2 linked regions of the Arabidopsis thaliana genome follow. The protein of the gene in region 2 binds, or shares a complex with, the protein of the main gene of each other region. Each region holds a gene or a part of one and is shown on either strand. Other genes may lie near its edges.

Region 1 (7,666 bases), about 11 Mb from region 2:
TATTATTTTTTAAGACCACTAATATTAAACATATCAAATCATCCTAATTTAGAAAAAATTATATAAAACCAAAAATGTTATGTGGTAGGTATAATGTTACTATATATAAAATTAAACTATAAAATATAAATGTATTAGAGAATGATACAATTGGCAAAACTTTTATATATAAAAAATAATTCTAAGATTTTAAAAATTACTACTTTAAAAAAAAATCATGGGACGGGTAAAGAAATTACAGAACGTGTTTTATTTTAGAATTGAGTTATATGGTGGATGTATTTGAATCAATATTTATAAAATTTTAAAATATTATTAATATGCTGTTTTAATAGGGGTCAAAACTTCAGTTTTTTTAACAATTGTCTTATGAATTCGTGGTATAGCGTTACTTAATAACAATTATAAACTGTAAAATATAAATATATTGTAAAAATAAAATTTGCAAGTTTTAATATATATTACTTTTAAAAATAAATCGTTCCGCGGTATACCGCGGGTTAAAATCTAGTCCTACTATATTATTTGGGAAGTCCAATTTAAAATATAACCTTAACTTTCTAACTAATTACATGACAACGTCATTAAAAAAATCTAATCAAGAACAAAATCGTTTCACGTCATTAAAATTAGCAAAGTCATTTAATAATAATATCCATCTCTTAATTATGAGGCTTATTGGATCTAAATACGGATCACATGCCAATTACCGAATAGTCATATCATAAATAAGATTAATAAAATAAATTGCTTTTTGGCAAAACGGATTTGAAGGGATAGATTTTTGATTCAATATTAATAAAAACTTAAAATATCATTAATCTACCGCTTTAATACGGGTTAAATTTTTAATTTATTATTTTTTAAGACCACCAATATTAGACATATCAAAATTATTTTTTTAGAAAAAATTGTATAAAACCAAAAATGTTATGTGGTATAATGTTATTATATATAAAGTTAAACTATAAAATATAAATGACTTAGAGAATAATACAACTTGTATACTTTTATATATAATAAATAATTATTAAATTTTAGAAATTAATATTTTTAAAAAACAAATTACGAGACGGATAAAAAAATTACAGAATAAATTATATTTTGGATTTTGAAATGGTGTTATATGATGAATATGTTTGAATCAATATTTTATAAATACATATATTTTGCAAATTTTGATATATACTACTTTAAAAAAAAAAATCATCCCGCAATATACCGCGAGTTAAAATCTAGTGAACTAAATATTTATAAACGTTTGAAATATATAAATTCGTTGATCAAAATAGATGTAGCGTTATCAGTCCTTAACGAAACTCTGGCACCCGTTATCACATGTTAACAATTCTGCTAGTCGTTAAAACAATCTATAGCATGGCTAAGGACTCTTTAAAAACTTAAAAACTTGATAAGACACATATACTTTAGATCGTCAATTATTCTTACTAAAAATTAACTTAAAAGAAAAACTAAAAATAGCTATTTTGTTAGAAGATACTAAAAGCTAACAACATTAATCTGAAACCTAACTGAAGAAATCTGAGGAAAATCTTAAGTGAAGAAAATATCCATTTTTCAACAAGCTTTTTGTGGTCTGGAAACACGCATGAGAAAAACATCACTATATGGATGATTTTGCTTCACTTCCACGTATCCTTTGGTCTTCAACACCTGCAAAATCAAATTCAGAGAGTTTCTCCATCTTAAGTCTTTCATGGAGACAGATAAAACGGTGAAGACATGTGCTTGTAAAAAAATTGAGAAATACCAAAGTCTCGTAGAAGAGTCTTGCGCTTTCCTTCTGAGTTCTTCCTCTACACAGTTGCAACAAACTCACCTTCTCTTCTTCTTCTCTTTCCCTCTGTTCCAAAAACGTCTTTTCCAAGAATTTCGCCACATTCCTGTACAATCCAGCGTCAGAAAACCAGGATAATCATCTGAATGTAAGCGAATCGAAGCTGTTGATACCGAAAGTGTGAGTCTGTTACCTTGTTCTTGAGGACCATGTCTCTGCAAATCAAAATATACATGGTAAGGACGCAGCACGATGATCGACATGCAACAAGAACAATTTGATAAGATTTGGATTCCAAATAAGTTGCGTATATTTCGATGGTTGAAACTTTCACTCAAAGCTACATATAATTTCAGAAACTTAATAGATTCTTGTCTACTAAATCAATAAAAGCCTGAGCACTCATGAGACCTACAAAAATTCAGAATGCGTTTTACCTTGTTGTAAGTCCTGTCTTTCATCTGCATTCACCTGCTGAAGCAGAAACAAAAAAAAAAAATGCTCAGTCTTGCAATTAAATAAGATAGGCTAAAAGAACTATAAAAACCTTTTTAACTACTATCAGAAGGATGCAACACAGCAGTACCTCATCGTTCATTAAAATCGTATCAAGATCTCTATTTTCCACATAATACACAGACGGGTGCTCCTCAAAGGAAGTGAAGGGACTTGCAGGTCTGGATTTTTTATAACAGGTCCCAGGGTCCTTGAAAAATCTTTTCGACATTGATTCCCTCACCGGCGTTTCAGGTGCAATCTCTACTTGCTCAGAGACTACTGGTGTTTCTGGAGCAATCACTGTTTGCTCTGATGTCCTCACGGGTGTTTCTGGAGCAATAACTGAAGGCTTCACAGGTGTCTCTGCGGCATTTTCTGTTTGATGAGCAGTTCCAGAAGTTGTAGAACTTGCTCCCATCTCAACCGAAACCACGTTACTATTTCCGGCTGTCACTTTCAGCCCAGCGAGAGCAGCAGCCTGAGGAGTCTCCATAATTTCTTGAGTATTCTCAGTCTGATCTGAAGATAAAATAACCCCAGGAGATCTGACAGTGTCAAGAGAAGACTTTTCCTTATGTCTAGCGATTTTAGTATCTTTAGGGGTTCCTGTGGTTGCCCAGTTTTTAAGCTTGATGGGTTGACAAAAAAGCGACTGGAGGTCCGAAGAACCATCTGCGGGATTACAACAATCAGCAAACACAACAATACAATACGATATACAGCGGATTACCAGGTTTTACTTACACTGAATCAAAGGTTCCAAAAAACTTCGAAAAGGATTGGCAAAACGTTTGGTTCTCCTCTCAGGACAGTCAGTATGAGGTACGTTTCTCCGTTTTGCAAGCAATTTACTTGAGTCCTCTATCATTTCCTTCATAACTCTACAATAACAAAAGAACCAAATATTACATACTTGTACGGAACTCTGCAGACGAATCTAATCCAGGTTACAAATAGTTCTCTTACTTGTTCGGAATTATCACTTCATCATCTATCAGACATTTTCTTTTCCGTGAAACTCGAGAAGACTCCTTCGCAGCCGGCGTAGGGATGATCGAGAACTGTGGACTTGTTCCCCCTGTAATTCAAAGTATAGGTTAACACGCTAAAAACGTAACTAAAAGTATATTAAGCTCATATTTCAATAAAGTGTGCACCTTCAGAAATTTTCAACCGGGAAGGTGTTTTGGGAGTGACAGTAACTGGAGTATCTGTTGCATTAAATTCGCTACTAGGGTCTTTAGAAACAGTCATGTCAGAGAGAAAACCTTTCTCGGAACCATGGAGATTCACTTCAGAAGTTTCAGATTGCTCTTTATGAGACCCATGAAACAATTCAAAGTCTGCCATTTCCGCTTCATTATGGTCTCGACATTTTTCTACGCCTTCTTGCAAGTCTCTGGAACCAGTCACAGATACTGGTTCTGGTTTTTCTAGAGTACTCATCTCAGGGATCTCCTTCTCCCCATTAATTCTTGTGGCACCAGAAGGTTGATCCTCAATCCCATGAATTGCTTCAGGTATTCCGCATTCAGATGGGAGGGACCTGTCATGCTGCATCTCTTCGCAACTTGTTTTCTTCGAGGTTTTCTCCGATTCTAAATTCTCTGTGTGACCATCTCTGTGTAGATTATCTCCTGAGGATTCATGAGAATCCACTAGTCTCTGCACAATGGTACATATGGTTTCTCTAACTGTATCTTCTTCTTGAGCTATTCGGATATCTTCGGACATTTGCGGTTCCAGAAGAATGTCATCTGATTCTGGATCCTCTCTATGCCTAGATGCATTTTGATGATCTCTGGATGGTTCATTAGAATCCAGTGGTTCCGCTTCAACGACTCTGACGGATGCTTCTTCAGTGGTATCTCTGACATTTTCTGCATCCAATTCCATATCATGAGCAAAACTCTCACTGCAACAACAAACAGAAAATTAGGATTGTGTTTGCCGATTACATGTATGGAACCAAAAATATCAGACTCACTGTTTATTTTCATTATGATTGGTAGAGAAAGTCTCATGAAACGTAAACAGAAGGTCCTCTTCCATGTCAAACTGCAACTCCACAAAGCATTATCTTTATTACATATATAGATTCACGAAATTACCAGAATTAAAAGGAATGGAACGAAGAAACAATGTCAATATACGCTGTAGTAGCTTAGAACCTAACAGTTACACACTCAGTAATCTATAAGGTGAGAAACCATACCCTTTCCATCGAATACATGTCCATGCGCTCTGTTTCCTGACTTCCATCTGTTTTATCGCAGTGCAGTGGTATTAGTAAATGAACAGTGATGAGATTCCCTTTAAACGACTTTAGTGATAAGATACCTTTAAGTGTAATATCTTCATGCGGCTTAACATTTCCCCTGAGAAAGAAGAAACAAAAGAGTTGAGACTATGAAAGAATCTCTGCGAAATACATTCTATATAGAAATAACAAGCATACCCATGAAAATCCTCCAGAACCCCAAGATCAAAAGCATCTAGTTCAAATCTCTCAGGTAAAGCAATGGAAAAACACTCGATAGATGCAGGCAATGATACACCTGTCTTTTCTCTGTTCCTTTCCTTAGCCACAAACTCCTTTACACCGATCAACGCTTTATTGCAATCATCGAACAAAAAGTCAACCTTCTTGGAATATATCCTTACAACACCAAGAAGAAGATACGCCAAAACTCTGTATGTCAACGCATCTAACTCTTTTTGCAAGATTTGATCTGTGCATCCAAAAAAAAAACCCCCGAAGAATTACACATCAGAAACGTCATTAAAGTAAAAAATACTGAAAATGTCAAATGTTGTAGAAAAAAAGTCCATCTTTCTCGAGGATACAAGTACTTTAGAGATCAAGCAAACTAAGCGTTGACCAGCAGCTTTCTGATACTAAGTGAGTAAGATGAAATGTTTAGATTTAAGTTTATATGAGAAAAGGCAGATTGATACTACTAAGGATTCGATACTATTCAGACTTAAAATAAATCACTGAACTCAATCTCTGAGGTTCACTCAGGCATTTTGTCAAACAACTGATGAACATAAACAAGTAACATTGAAAGACCCCAACAAAATCAACAGTGATCTCTAATTAACGCTGCCAATGGATACAAACGAAACCCTAAAATTCTATTCCAGCTAAAAAATCCACTAAAGCTGCAAAGTTTCACTCAAACAATCACTTTTCCAATCGCCGGAGAAAAATCTCTAACTAGAACAGAGAGAAGAAGAAGAAGAATGTGAAGGAGGAGAAAGACAAACCAACGGAAGAAGGAATATGAGTAGCTTTGACTTGAGATTTCTTAAGCTTTTTGAAGAAATAGGCAGCGACCCAAATAGCTCCTAAAGGTCCTTTTCTCGATACTAGACAATGCGAGTAAAACATTTTTGAGTGTGAAGGTTTACCAGATTCTGGGTTTTAGACAAAGGTTAGTTTTTTTTAAGAGAGCAGCGAGAGAGAGAGAGAGAGCGAGCAACTTCGTAAAATAGTGAAGCGAGGGAGAGAAGAAATTGAGGAGAAGGAAACGGTCAAGCGGTGTACGGAACAAGCTTCTTACTAAACCGATTAACTTTTTTTCTTTTAATTTTAATTTTAGTTTTTTTTTTTCTTGTTAAGTCACGCTTAATCTGTTTATTTTCAAGTCGTTTTAGAGTAATTAAACTTTTTAAAGTCTATTGACAAGTTATGTAGTTTTGGAAATTGAAAATGTTTTGAATTAGGTGTCATAAATTTAAATTTTCCTAATTAGACGGTGACCAGAAAATCACACCTTCTTAATTATGCATTTTTTTTTAATTGATACTTCCTTCTCTGTTGATCAAAAAAAAAAAAAAAAAACCTTCTCCTTTTTAATTGTGCAATTTCCTATTTTTCCATAAGAATAGAAAAAATAATTTTGGAGGGAGTGATAGTCTGATAGTATTAGATAATTTATAATTTATTTAATTAATTTTGGATAAACAAAATATATATATATATATACAAGTTAATTTTTTGAATAGGAAAAAAAAAAACATTGCTGTTAAAAATTAATCAACGAAGATAACAATTGAATTGAAATATGCTAATGCTGATTATTGACTTCATATTTATATTTACCTTTTCTAAATTCTACAGAAAAAGAAGTAAATAAATAATATAATACTACCACACTAAAAGATAACGACTAGTTTGATGGAAATGTGAGCTGTCTCACTCCTTCACGCATCGTTAAGAGCGTTTAAACGTTTATAACTGCGCACAGTCATTTTGTATAACACGTGTCCGGTTAAAAGTCTACGTGGCGTTTAAGTGACAGCGACATCTCATAGACCATTGGTCCGACGTGGCATTACGTTGCGAATGGGCCTGAATAGAATAAAATTATGCCCAATAAAAAGTCTCTCGACCTAACTCTTAAAAGCCCAATAATTTGATCAATTCTTATATAAGGGCCTGACTGGTTTAAATACAGCGGGTGCGGTTACGGTTGCGCAAGTTTGCGGAAACGGCCGGTTGCGGTTTTAAGCGTTATCAAGCCTTTTAAACGACTGGTTAAGCGTTTGATAATGGGTGCGTTTTCGGGAGTTTTATGACCGGTAAACCAGCAAGTGTGATAGTAATTAAATAAAAAACCAAAATAAATATAATATATTACTATTAAAAGAAAGAAAAATACAATATATTATTATGATAAATTGATAATATTAGAAAAATTAAACATGCTTAATAATTAAAACCATAAATAAAACATTAAATTTAAAATAAATAAATTTTGTAAGAAAAAGTTTAATACTTTATGCATTTGGTACATACCAAAAATTGCATCAAGTAGTGTGATAAACTATAAATAACGTTGAACTCGCGGGTTTTCCGGATTGCCTCTATACATATGATAAAGTTTCTTCAAGATATCCAAACGATTTTTAACACATCTCCAACTCAAATTTTTCCCAAACTGGTCGTTAATATTCTTAAGAATATTTTCTTTTTGAACATCACTTAGAAATCTGATTTTGGGATCTTTGGAATCTTCCGTTAAATATTGATTAGGTTTTTTTTAATAAGAATAAGATATATAGGGTTTGGGTAGAAGACATAATTATTTTAATTAATTAAAAAAAAAAAATAACCTAACTGCTACCGCCCGCAACCGCAAATGCTTGCGGGAATGAGCTTTTGAAATCTGGCGATTTTGAACGGTGTAAAGCAGTATCTAGCGGTTTCTATGATTGATGTCAATCGCTAACAATCGCTAGCACCCGCAAATACAGCGTTTGCGAGTGACAAAGGGAAAACCAATTAAACCCTAAGTAATTGTCTTTGTCTTTGATATTCCTTTCTTCTGACCCAATTAAGACAAAACCCTCTACACACTTTTC
Region 2 (9,116 bases):
AAAGATATTCTGGCCTATTTTCAAGTTTTATACTTTATATTTTAATAGCTGAGTTAATTTCTTTCGTTTATTTTATTAGATTATCTGATTTATAAAAGAGAAAAAAAACTTGAGAAATTGGAAATGCAGAACTTGCATTTGATAAAGTTTAAATGTGAGTATTATGTTCACTAATTCTCGTAAATTTAAACAAAATCGGGTGTTTAACAACAAAAAAATGTCATTGTACAATCCAATATCTTAAATGGCTTCAAAGAAAAAAATATATATACTAAACGGCTAAAAATTTGCCATTTCCTTGTTTCAACGTACATTTGACTCTTCTATTCTTGAATTCTTGTAGTTTTAACTCTAAAATCGTTGATGATAATAATGGGGAAAAGGATCATTTACTAGAAAACCATTTGAGGAAACAATTTCACTTCACAAGAACGTAGAGACTTTATCTTATATGAAAAGTACTATTTATTGAATAAAATGTTTCCTCAGTATTCTCAGGTTTCAATATCACACAAACCTGACAACTTTGGTTATCCAAAGAAAATAAAATTAGCATCTCTCAAATTTAAACTTGGTGCTCATGGTTACACCAATATATACATATACAACAACAACTCATTATATATAAAGGTAAATAATGACAAACACCAATCTCCAGCTACTTGGATAGCCTACAACACCATTGATACTACTATTACTACTACATTGCCTTAAAAAGGGAAAGTGTATTAACTTTGGAGAAGTAGAATCATTTCGAATGATATTCTCGGATTGGACCAAACTAGCTATCTGCAACTATATGACTGATCTTCTCCATCTAGAAGATGGATTTGGTGAGCTTTGGTCGCGGTTTTATGATGATGCTTTCATAGGGCTTCCCTTGTTCGACTTGGATGTAATCTCTTGTTTTAAGAACCTGCAAAATTGGCAAAACAATAAGACAGATTCAAGATCAGAGTTTTTTTTTTAGTTTAGGGTTGTGTTATGGACATACCAGGGTTTCGAAAAACATTCTCGATGCTTCTTTACGGGTTTTCCCAGCTAAAAGTTTGTCTGCCACAAGAACATTCTTCCCATTCTCGGTTTCTTTATCAAATAACGTCTGGAGATACTTTGCCACAGCCCTAAAAGTAAAGAGAATCAGAAGCTTTCATAATTCAAGCCCATCACATCACGTCTCTCACATGATAGAAGCTAAAATCTGAGCAAGTCATAAACTGTACAGACCTAGTACGAGAAGACCATCCACTGTTTTCTAGAAGACGAGTTTCATCATCATATTGTATGTCATCCTCCTCATGATCTTCATCTACTTCATCATCATCGACGTTCAAAAATCCTGAAGACACGAATGCAAGAAATTAATAAGAAGAACCATTGAGAAATCATCGGGAATAGCACTAGCAGCATCTCGTATCCAAATTATGCTCCAAGTTTAAGCTTGTTGAGTCCAGTTTTGAACCAGGATATGATGACCAGAGTATCAGTCCCATTGATCAAATGAAGAGGATACAGACCATTTGGAAAAGAAAAGAATTGAAATTCGAAAAGGCTTAGAACCTGTGTCATGTGCATTTTCCATGGTATCCATTTCCTACACCATAAGATAACAAGAGAGTCAGGGACATGTCTTACTTGAATAAGGATATGACGCAACAAAGAAACTTACATCATTGTCTCCCATAAGACCATCACGAGAAGTATGCTCTCCATCTAATGCATTTTGCATAGACGCCTCCTCATTAGACATCTCATTATGCGGTTCGTATTTGTTATAAGACTCTGTCTCTGGATTCAACCCATCACTATTCGCTTCCACCAGAGGTTCATTGCAATTTTCCAAAGCCATGTTACTCAAATCACCAGCTTCTAGGCATCCAGTTTCAGTAGACCCAACTGTGTTATCGCATGGAGTCTGATCGTCTCTCCCAAGCTCGCTAACTTCAGCTGATGCATCCGTTTTCTCATCTTCATGTGGAAGTTCATCTTCAACTTTCAAGTCCATCTCATTGAAAATGGGGTTGATATCTGTATCGCCTTCAGCAATTTCAATAACGTCAGTGCAACTTTTTTCATTAGGATCCGCACAAACATCCTGCCCGCCTTCTCCATCATGGTTTTCATGGGATTCTTCAACCTGTAAATCCTCTACACGGTCGAGTTTTTCCTCAGACGGTATTTGACTGACATCGTCAATCACTACAAGATTTACTTCATCAGCAGCTCCATTGCCTTCCTTCAAAACCTCCAAGTCAGATTTTTCAGCAAGCTCATTATCATCTTTCAGCTCTTCCTGTTGGTTTATGGTTTGTTCCTCCTGCGGGTGAGTATGAGCCGTACCAGGTTGCTCCTCACAATCATTTGGGTGAGCTTGCGGATCAGAGCTTTCTTCCGTTTTATTTTCTTCCACGGCCGTAACAGAACATTCATTATCTTCCACCGCTCCAACAGAAGCATGACGGTCATCATTCTCAATTATCATGATTCCTCTTAGATCATACGGCTCAGTGTGCAGAGATACTAATTCCACTGACATACCTGAAAATCAGTGAAACATATTAGCTATATAACTGCAGATTATAAGAACAATCAACAGAACGTGTATAGAACGGTCTACATTTTAGTGTCATGAACTTACCAGTAAATATTGGCTCCTTAAAGAGTCCATCCTCCAAAGCCTGCCTTTGAAGCATTACGATTTCAGGAACGGTGCAAGGTGCCTTCTTTCGCACGCGCCGTATATCTTCAGTGTTTGTCAGTTGTTGACGTATAATGCTAAACAGAAAAGTAGGCAACATCAGAAGAAAACAAATACAAATTGAGATAAGGTAAAAAAATATCGCTCCTAGGTAATTAAAGGTGTGAAACTTAAAAGAAGACCAAACTCCAATTACAGTAAAGAAAAAATCAGTAGTCAAACGAATTCAAGATTCACATTAATTTACTTCTGACTCTAGCTGTCTTGAACCTAAGTAGCTAAAACAAGAACTTCTATGAAAGGTCCACTTGGAGCAGTGGAACAAAAAAACTAAGGTATAAGAAAATCAGATATAAGAAAACAGTAAGACAAACATACTCGCCATGCAAGACCATAGGGTCATCCATTAGAACCTTCCTCTTTGTGGCAGTAGAGCGGGGAGCAGATCGTAACCGTTTTGTAGTTGCTGGTTCAAGCACAGGGGTAGGCCTCATCTTCAGAAAGGATGACTTTCCAACTGAAAAAAAAAAAAAATTCAACGATAATTGATCCATAAAGCTAGCTCAAAGAGCAATAGAATGTATAAAAGAACAGACAGAGTATCCAAAATAAACTGATACCTAAGATAGAAGACAACAAATCATCGTCATCAGGGACAGAATCTGCAGTTCTCTTTGACTGAATCAGTCCAACTGACTCCACAGAGTTCAAACTTTCTGCAGTTAGTGTGCTCTCAGTAAAAGTGCGTTTTTTCCCAGTAATGTTATTATTCCCCGCATCATCATTACATGTGCCAGGGTCTTCTTTATCTGGTGTAGATTCAACCATGAAATCATTTCCATCCCCCTGTCTGTTAGGTACAGCTAATACCTTCTCAGGTGGAGGGAAATCAGAATCGGTAAATCCAGTCAAATTTCCCAACTGTTCATCAGTTTCGTGTGCATTATTCAGCTGCCCATCTGGTCTACTGTACGCTTGCTCATCTCCTTGTAAACTAGAATCTGTTTCCTGATTGACCTCAGTGGCAATGGCAAAATGATCTGGCAACAATAAAAATTATAAGCATAAGGCAGGCACTAAGATGTCGTATAAGGTTTGCAATTTTCTTTGCCAACAAACCTCGGTTCTCTTCTCCAGGGGTTTCAAGTGGAGGAACAGCATCGGGTTTATCAGGTACAACATTAGCTCCTGCCTCATTCATTACTTGACCAGGATCCTCCATCTCGGTGGTGATGTGAGAACAACATGGAGATGTAACATGTACATGCTCTGCCCTCTCCTCCTCCGGCTCATTTTGTGTGTTGACATTTTCATCTATCTGTGACTTATCTACCTCCACAGGAGTAACTGCTGATTCTGGGGCATTATATTCAGAAGACAGGTCTTCCCCACGTTTAGGCATCTCATTAGCATTCAGCTCCCCAGAGGACTTTATACCTTCTTCTGCATTCAGATCCTCTACGTCCATGTGATCATCGCATGCCATCTGCTCTCTCACACTAGACGAGTTTGGCACCTCAACTAATCCAGGAGTTTGAGGAGCTTGAGCATCTTCGATGAACTCATTATTCATAGCAAGATCTTCAACCTATCAAAAAGAGAGATTCACAATACTATCCAATAGTCTTACCAGAAAAGTAAGCCAATAAATCTGTGTAAACAAATTGTAAATTTGGAGTCTGTAACTGCAATGTACATTCAGACATAATGCAAAGTAAAATATATCACATTAAGCACTGTGACTCAGGTGACAATTATTAAGCAACTATAGGTATGCCCTCGTGCATTATGTATGGTACGCACCTGCTCTTCATTAAAATCCATGGGCATGGCTTCAGAGACTCCTTCCATCGAATCCTTTATCCCGGGTGCTGCCGCATCCAGATACGCGTTGTGATCAATACTATCAACAAATAGAATATCTTACATAAGTAAAACTTTTGATTGATAATTTGCACGTCCAAATTATGCACCAAAGGTCCACATCCAAGAAGGATAAGACTCACAGAATTGCAGTTCTAATTCACAATCCAATTACAGAACAAACACAAACTCAAGGTATGAATGTCATGGAACTTAAAAAGCATGGTTACAAAGCTTGAAACACACACATTCAAGCGCCAAAACGCAAAGCTTTTTATCATTCAGTCAACTCGAGATCTTCCCTAATGTGAGCATTTAAAATCTATGATAACAATCTGAAGTAGCGGTATGAAAATATAGAAAAGGTACTGAACAGCTCCAGAAAAGAAGATCAAGCTGACACTTCGATAGTTAATTTGAGAGGAACCATAGGGAAGCATAAAAGCAATTATGCTACAAAGAATATAGCCAAAGATAATGAACAAAAACTGACCCTGGAACTCCCTCATCGTCGGATCCAATAACATCCTTGTCCTGGAATACTGCCTGCACAACAAGAGAGGAATGATAAAAGATCACATCCAAAATAATAAGAGAGAAGTTCTGATTGCAAATATGCAAAGCTTCACTAGAAAAAGAAAACATCAACATTATCCTGACGCTACAACATGACTGCAACCTAACACTTCAAATTACAAGCTTTTCACGGTCTAGGACTCCGCAACTGGATACCAATCAGAGCTTCCAGCTGCTGCGTCTACCCAAACAGAGGAGAGAAAGAACCCAAAATCTAAAAGCAAATGAAATCTACAGATAACCTCTTCATATTCAGCTTTCTATATGGTTATCCTATTTCTTGTTCCAAAATGACTTGAACAAAGTAGAAAATATCTATTATAAACACAAAAATACCTCATCAAGATCCAAAGCAGCTTGAGAAGTGTCGCCATCACCAAATCGCTCTGCAAAAGTTTTAAAATGACTTTGCTTATCTACGGCATAGCTATCTACAAACTAAAGACAAGCAAATATGAAACAACCACTGACCATCTAATCCAAATTGTGACGTTGAGTATACAACGCCATCCATGGTATCCTGAAGGGTGATCTGCTCTTTTGTACTAACATGATGATCAACGTAATTACTGCTAGACAGGAAAACAAGGAGCAACAAATAAACAAATTATGCAAATTGGAGTAAGAGTGGAATACGAGTTTGAATGTTAAAACATAAAGAAACCAACCCCTGAAAGATCTCATTGTCTGGAAGCTCAAAGTCATCAAGATCAAATGTCTCTGGCAACGTAATAGAGTGATACGGCGCTGTAGATTCTTCAGGGGGTAGGTCAACAGCAGCAGAGCGAAAAGCTTGCTTTACCTTAAGCAATGCCTCACTGCAATCATCAAAGAGGTAATTCACCTTTCTCGAATATATACGCACAACACCAAGCAGAAGATGACTAGACAATCGCAATGCAATCGGAGCTTCCGGAAAGAGAATAGAATCTGCTCAGAAAAAGAAATTAGTTATATTAGGAAATATTTTAGATGAACTTGTTTAGCCACATAACAACTGAAAAAGAAGGAAACTTTAGCTTCTGCTAACCCTAGTGAGCACAACGAACTGAGACCTGAATCAGAGGTATTGTACACAAAAGCAAAAGGTAGCAAAATACTCACCAACGGAGACTCCAATATCAGTATCAGCGACCTGATTCTTTCGAAGCTTCCTCTCCAAATGGGCAGCAATCCATATTGTCCCAAGTGGCCCTTTCTTAGCTAATATAAACTGCGAATAAAACATTCCTCGTCCTCTATACCAAAAAACCCTAAAAAAATTCAACAAAAAGGAACCAACTTGTTAGAATTTCACCGTAACAAAATTGAGCTTCAAAAACTATTCAGATAACAAAATCCCTTTCTTCAGCCCCAAAGATACGTCTATAGAGAATCAAAAAAAGTTTCCAAATTTCGACAACAGAATCGAAATAGCTCAAACCGACAACAAAGTCTCGCAATTGCCACTGAGCAGAGACACTAGACTACTTCGGTAAGTAGAATAGAGAGCAAAGGGTAGATCAATTACCGTAGAATTGACCAAGCTCAAACAAGTCCAAAACAGCTCGATTTGAACAGAGTCCTCGCGGAAACCCTAATTCTCAGAAACTTGGAAAAAGAACACCCAATTTGGGTAAAAGCAGAATCTTAAAGACACAACTCTTTCTTCTTGGAGATTCAGACACAACAACAGCCAAGGAAAACAGTAAAATTTGTGGAAATTGCGATATGCAAAAAAAACTAAAAAGTTTCGAAATTTGGATCTTTGGTTGATTTTTGATTAAATGAGGGATTTGGTGCGGCAAAGAAACACATGTTCCGTGACATACGTCGTTCTCTCATTGGTTAAGAGATTAGCGGGTCCCGCATAGCTTTAGATTTAGATCATTTTTCAACAATTTTTGTTTTCGTCAACTAGCCCCAACAGTATTTAACTTCATTTAATTATTACTTGAAAATATTTTGGGTTTTTCCATTTTTTTCAAAATATTTCAACTCGGCGGCTTCTTTTGCCTCATTGCGGGAAATCTGAAAAAAATCGAAACTTTTTAATAAGAAAAACAGAAAAATAAAGATTCTGTTATTAGAGATCATCTGACAACATTCTGCTGTAAAAGTATGAAATTTAGGTCCAAACTACAATACAAAGTATTTTAAACAAATGATTGATAGAAACAAAAATTCATGTGATGGTGTCACACAAAAACTGCTAAGTATCATGATTTAACAAATAAGGAAAAAATATAGTGAAGCATAACTTTTAAATTCCGATTTTTCAAATTTCTAGAAGAAAATCGTATTACATAGTAGTAAAGGTTTTTAGTCAACGAATATCAAAATACACTTGCAAGTGCAGTCTTATTCGTTAATTTCACTACAGGTAATACTACTAGTACTAGATAAAACCGGTCCTCTGGGTTTGCGTTGGTCTGATTCAGATGTGTCTGTGCCTAGTGATTTACATCAGAAACCTGAGTTTCCCAGAATAATAATCCAAATCTTCCCAGCTTTAGATCATTGTGCTTTTGTTTTTTACTCAGCAGCTTCCAGTTCAGCTGCAAACTGATCTAACCGTTCCGCTTCCAAATCAAAATCCCTAACTGTAGCATGGTTCACTGATCCATCATCGAGGCTCGCATGTATCTGTCTCTTTGCATACCTGCATTCATCCAGAAACAGAAAGAAGTACATGTAAGCATCAGACTCAATACCGACTCTAATGGCAATTAGGCGGAAATGATGACTCAGGAGAGTTTGTACCATCGACCGTTCATTGCTTCTATACATTTCTGTGCATCTCTCCGATCCTTGAATCTTACAAGAACAACACCCTGTGGATGATGCTCACATACCTGTAAAGAAGAGATTCGATTGGTACTCCAAAATAATCTCAAGTTTTCCACAAAGCTATATGCAGCAAGCAAGACCACCAGCTTAAGATAAAAAGAAATCATATTATTACCTTCACTGAGTCGAACGGTCCATGCTTCAAACTCTCCTCTTTCACGTCTTCCTCTAACTCAGCAACCAGATCCTCATCAGCCTGCAAACAGAGTAAATGCTCAAAGCTATATCAGCTACTCTTAAAAATAGCAACATTTCTCATATTAACTATTGGACAAGACCTACCATCAACTCAGCTGGACTGAACATGTAGCGCAGAACAACCGTTGCAGGTATTGAGACCTTAGAATCATCTGTACCACCTACGTCAACAAAAGAGAGGAAATGTGATAAAATTTAGAATCCACTAGGAACAATCTCCAACTTCAACAACTAAAATGGTCATTTCTTTTGATTTTAATATGCTCAAAATCAACTAGGAATAATCAGAAATAGATAATATTGACATGACTATATGTTCCCTTTTGATCCATGCATCCGCAATGGCCACTGACCTAAATAAACATAGTAGGAGGAAAAAATGGCTCAATAACAGGAAACGCTCATCAGTTAAGATATCACAAGTCACCAGAAAGAATAAGAAAAGAATGATATGTCTGTAACCCCTATATCGTGTTTCTAAACTCTCGTCATTAAAAGGTTTCTTTCCAAAATTGATTAGGTTAAAAGTCTTTAGTGCAGTCTTTTTGCTAAGTAATGGTTAAGTTTAGAGAGTTCCACAAAGATCTGGTAAAGCACAGACAATATAGATACATCTTTTCCTAGTAAAAGAAATTATAATTTTAACAATAAACCTTCCTATGGTCGTAAGGAAATGAATCTCTAGCATCTCCTAGTATATTTCTCTATTATGCGTCTTTCTAGAGATAAGGTAAGTTTTTAGTACACGAAAGCGAAAACGTACCCCATCCAAGCAACTTTTGCTCGACCTTTTTAAGCTTCTTTTTCTTCTTGTTGTCGGTTTGCTTAGTTATAAATCTCTCCCCTGAGTAAAAAAAAAGTAAAGCCAATAAAAACCATAAGTAAAATATTGCCGAAACTAAAGCCACAGATGGGATGTTTTACATAACCGATAAGTTGTTATACAACAAAT

What was found.
Region 1: SYN4 (region 2) and SYN2 share a complex: the UniProt entries of both Arabidopsis thaliana proteins name them as parts of the cohesin complex.

The regions. Positions count from the first base shown.
Region 1 is NC_003076.8:16,358,033-16,365,698, forward strand, and holds SYN2 (Rad21/Rec8-like family protein), read right to left. Parts: upstream 5,847-7,666; 5' UTR 5,691-5,846; coding exon 5,567-5,690; intron 5,423-5,566; exon of another isoform or gene 5,029-5,422; coding exon 4,755-5,028; intron 4,675-4,754; coding exon 4,637-4,674; intron 4,559-4,636; coding exon 4,512-4,558; intron 4,355-4,511; coding exon 4,284-4,354; intron 4,212-4,283; coding exon 3,454-4,211; intron 3,375-3,453; coding exon 3,263-3,374; intron 3,178-3,262; coding exon 3,041-3,177; intron 2,969-3,040; coding exon 2,385-2,968; intron 2,273-2,384; coding exon 2,236-2,272; intron 2,014-2,235; coding exon 1,992-2,013; coding exon of another isoform or gene 1,988-1,991; exon of another isoform or gene 1,905-1,987; coding exon 1,772-1,904; intron 1,675-1,771; coding exon 1,579-1,674; 3' UTR 1,299-1,578; downstream 1-1,298. UniProt on the Arabidopsis thaliana protein: May be involved in sister chromatid cohesion during mitosis.
Region 2 is NC_003076.8:5,314,032-5,323,147, reverse strand, and holds SYN4 (sister chromatid cohesion 1 protein 4), read right to left. Parts: upstream 6,952-9,116; 5' UTR 6,648-6,951; intron 6,391-6,647; 5' UTR 6,366-6,390; coding exon 6,242-6,365; intron 6,068-6,241; coding exon 5,806-6,067; intron 5,707-5,805; coding exon 5,609-5,706; intron 5,524-5,608; coding exon 5,474-5,523; intron 5,108-5,473; coding exon 5,055-5,107; intron 4,602-5,054; coding exon 4,502-4,601; intron 4,287-4,501; coding exon 3,818-4,286; intron 3,739-3,817; coding exon 3,319-3,738; intron 3,216-3,318; coding exon 3,077-3,215; intron 2,776-3,076; coding exon 2,639-2,775; intron 2,539-2,638; coding exon 1,670-2,538; intron 1,595-1,669; coding exon 1,561-1,594; intron 1,340-1,560; coding exon 1,228-1,339; intron 1,125-1,227; coding exon 995-1,124; intron 917-994; coding exon 818-916; 3' UTR 448-817; downstream 1-447. Other genes in the region: ELF9 (RNA binding (RRM/RBD/RNP motifs) family protein), read right to left, coding at 7,652-7,778, 7,880-7,971, 8,082-8,162, 8,249-8,325, 8,928-9,008. UniProt on the Arabidopsis thaliana protein: Involved in sister chromatid and centromere cohesion during mitosis.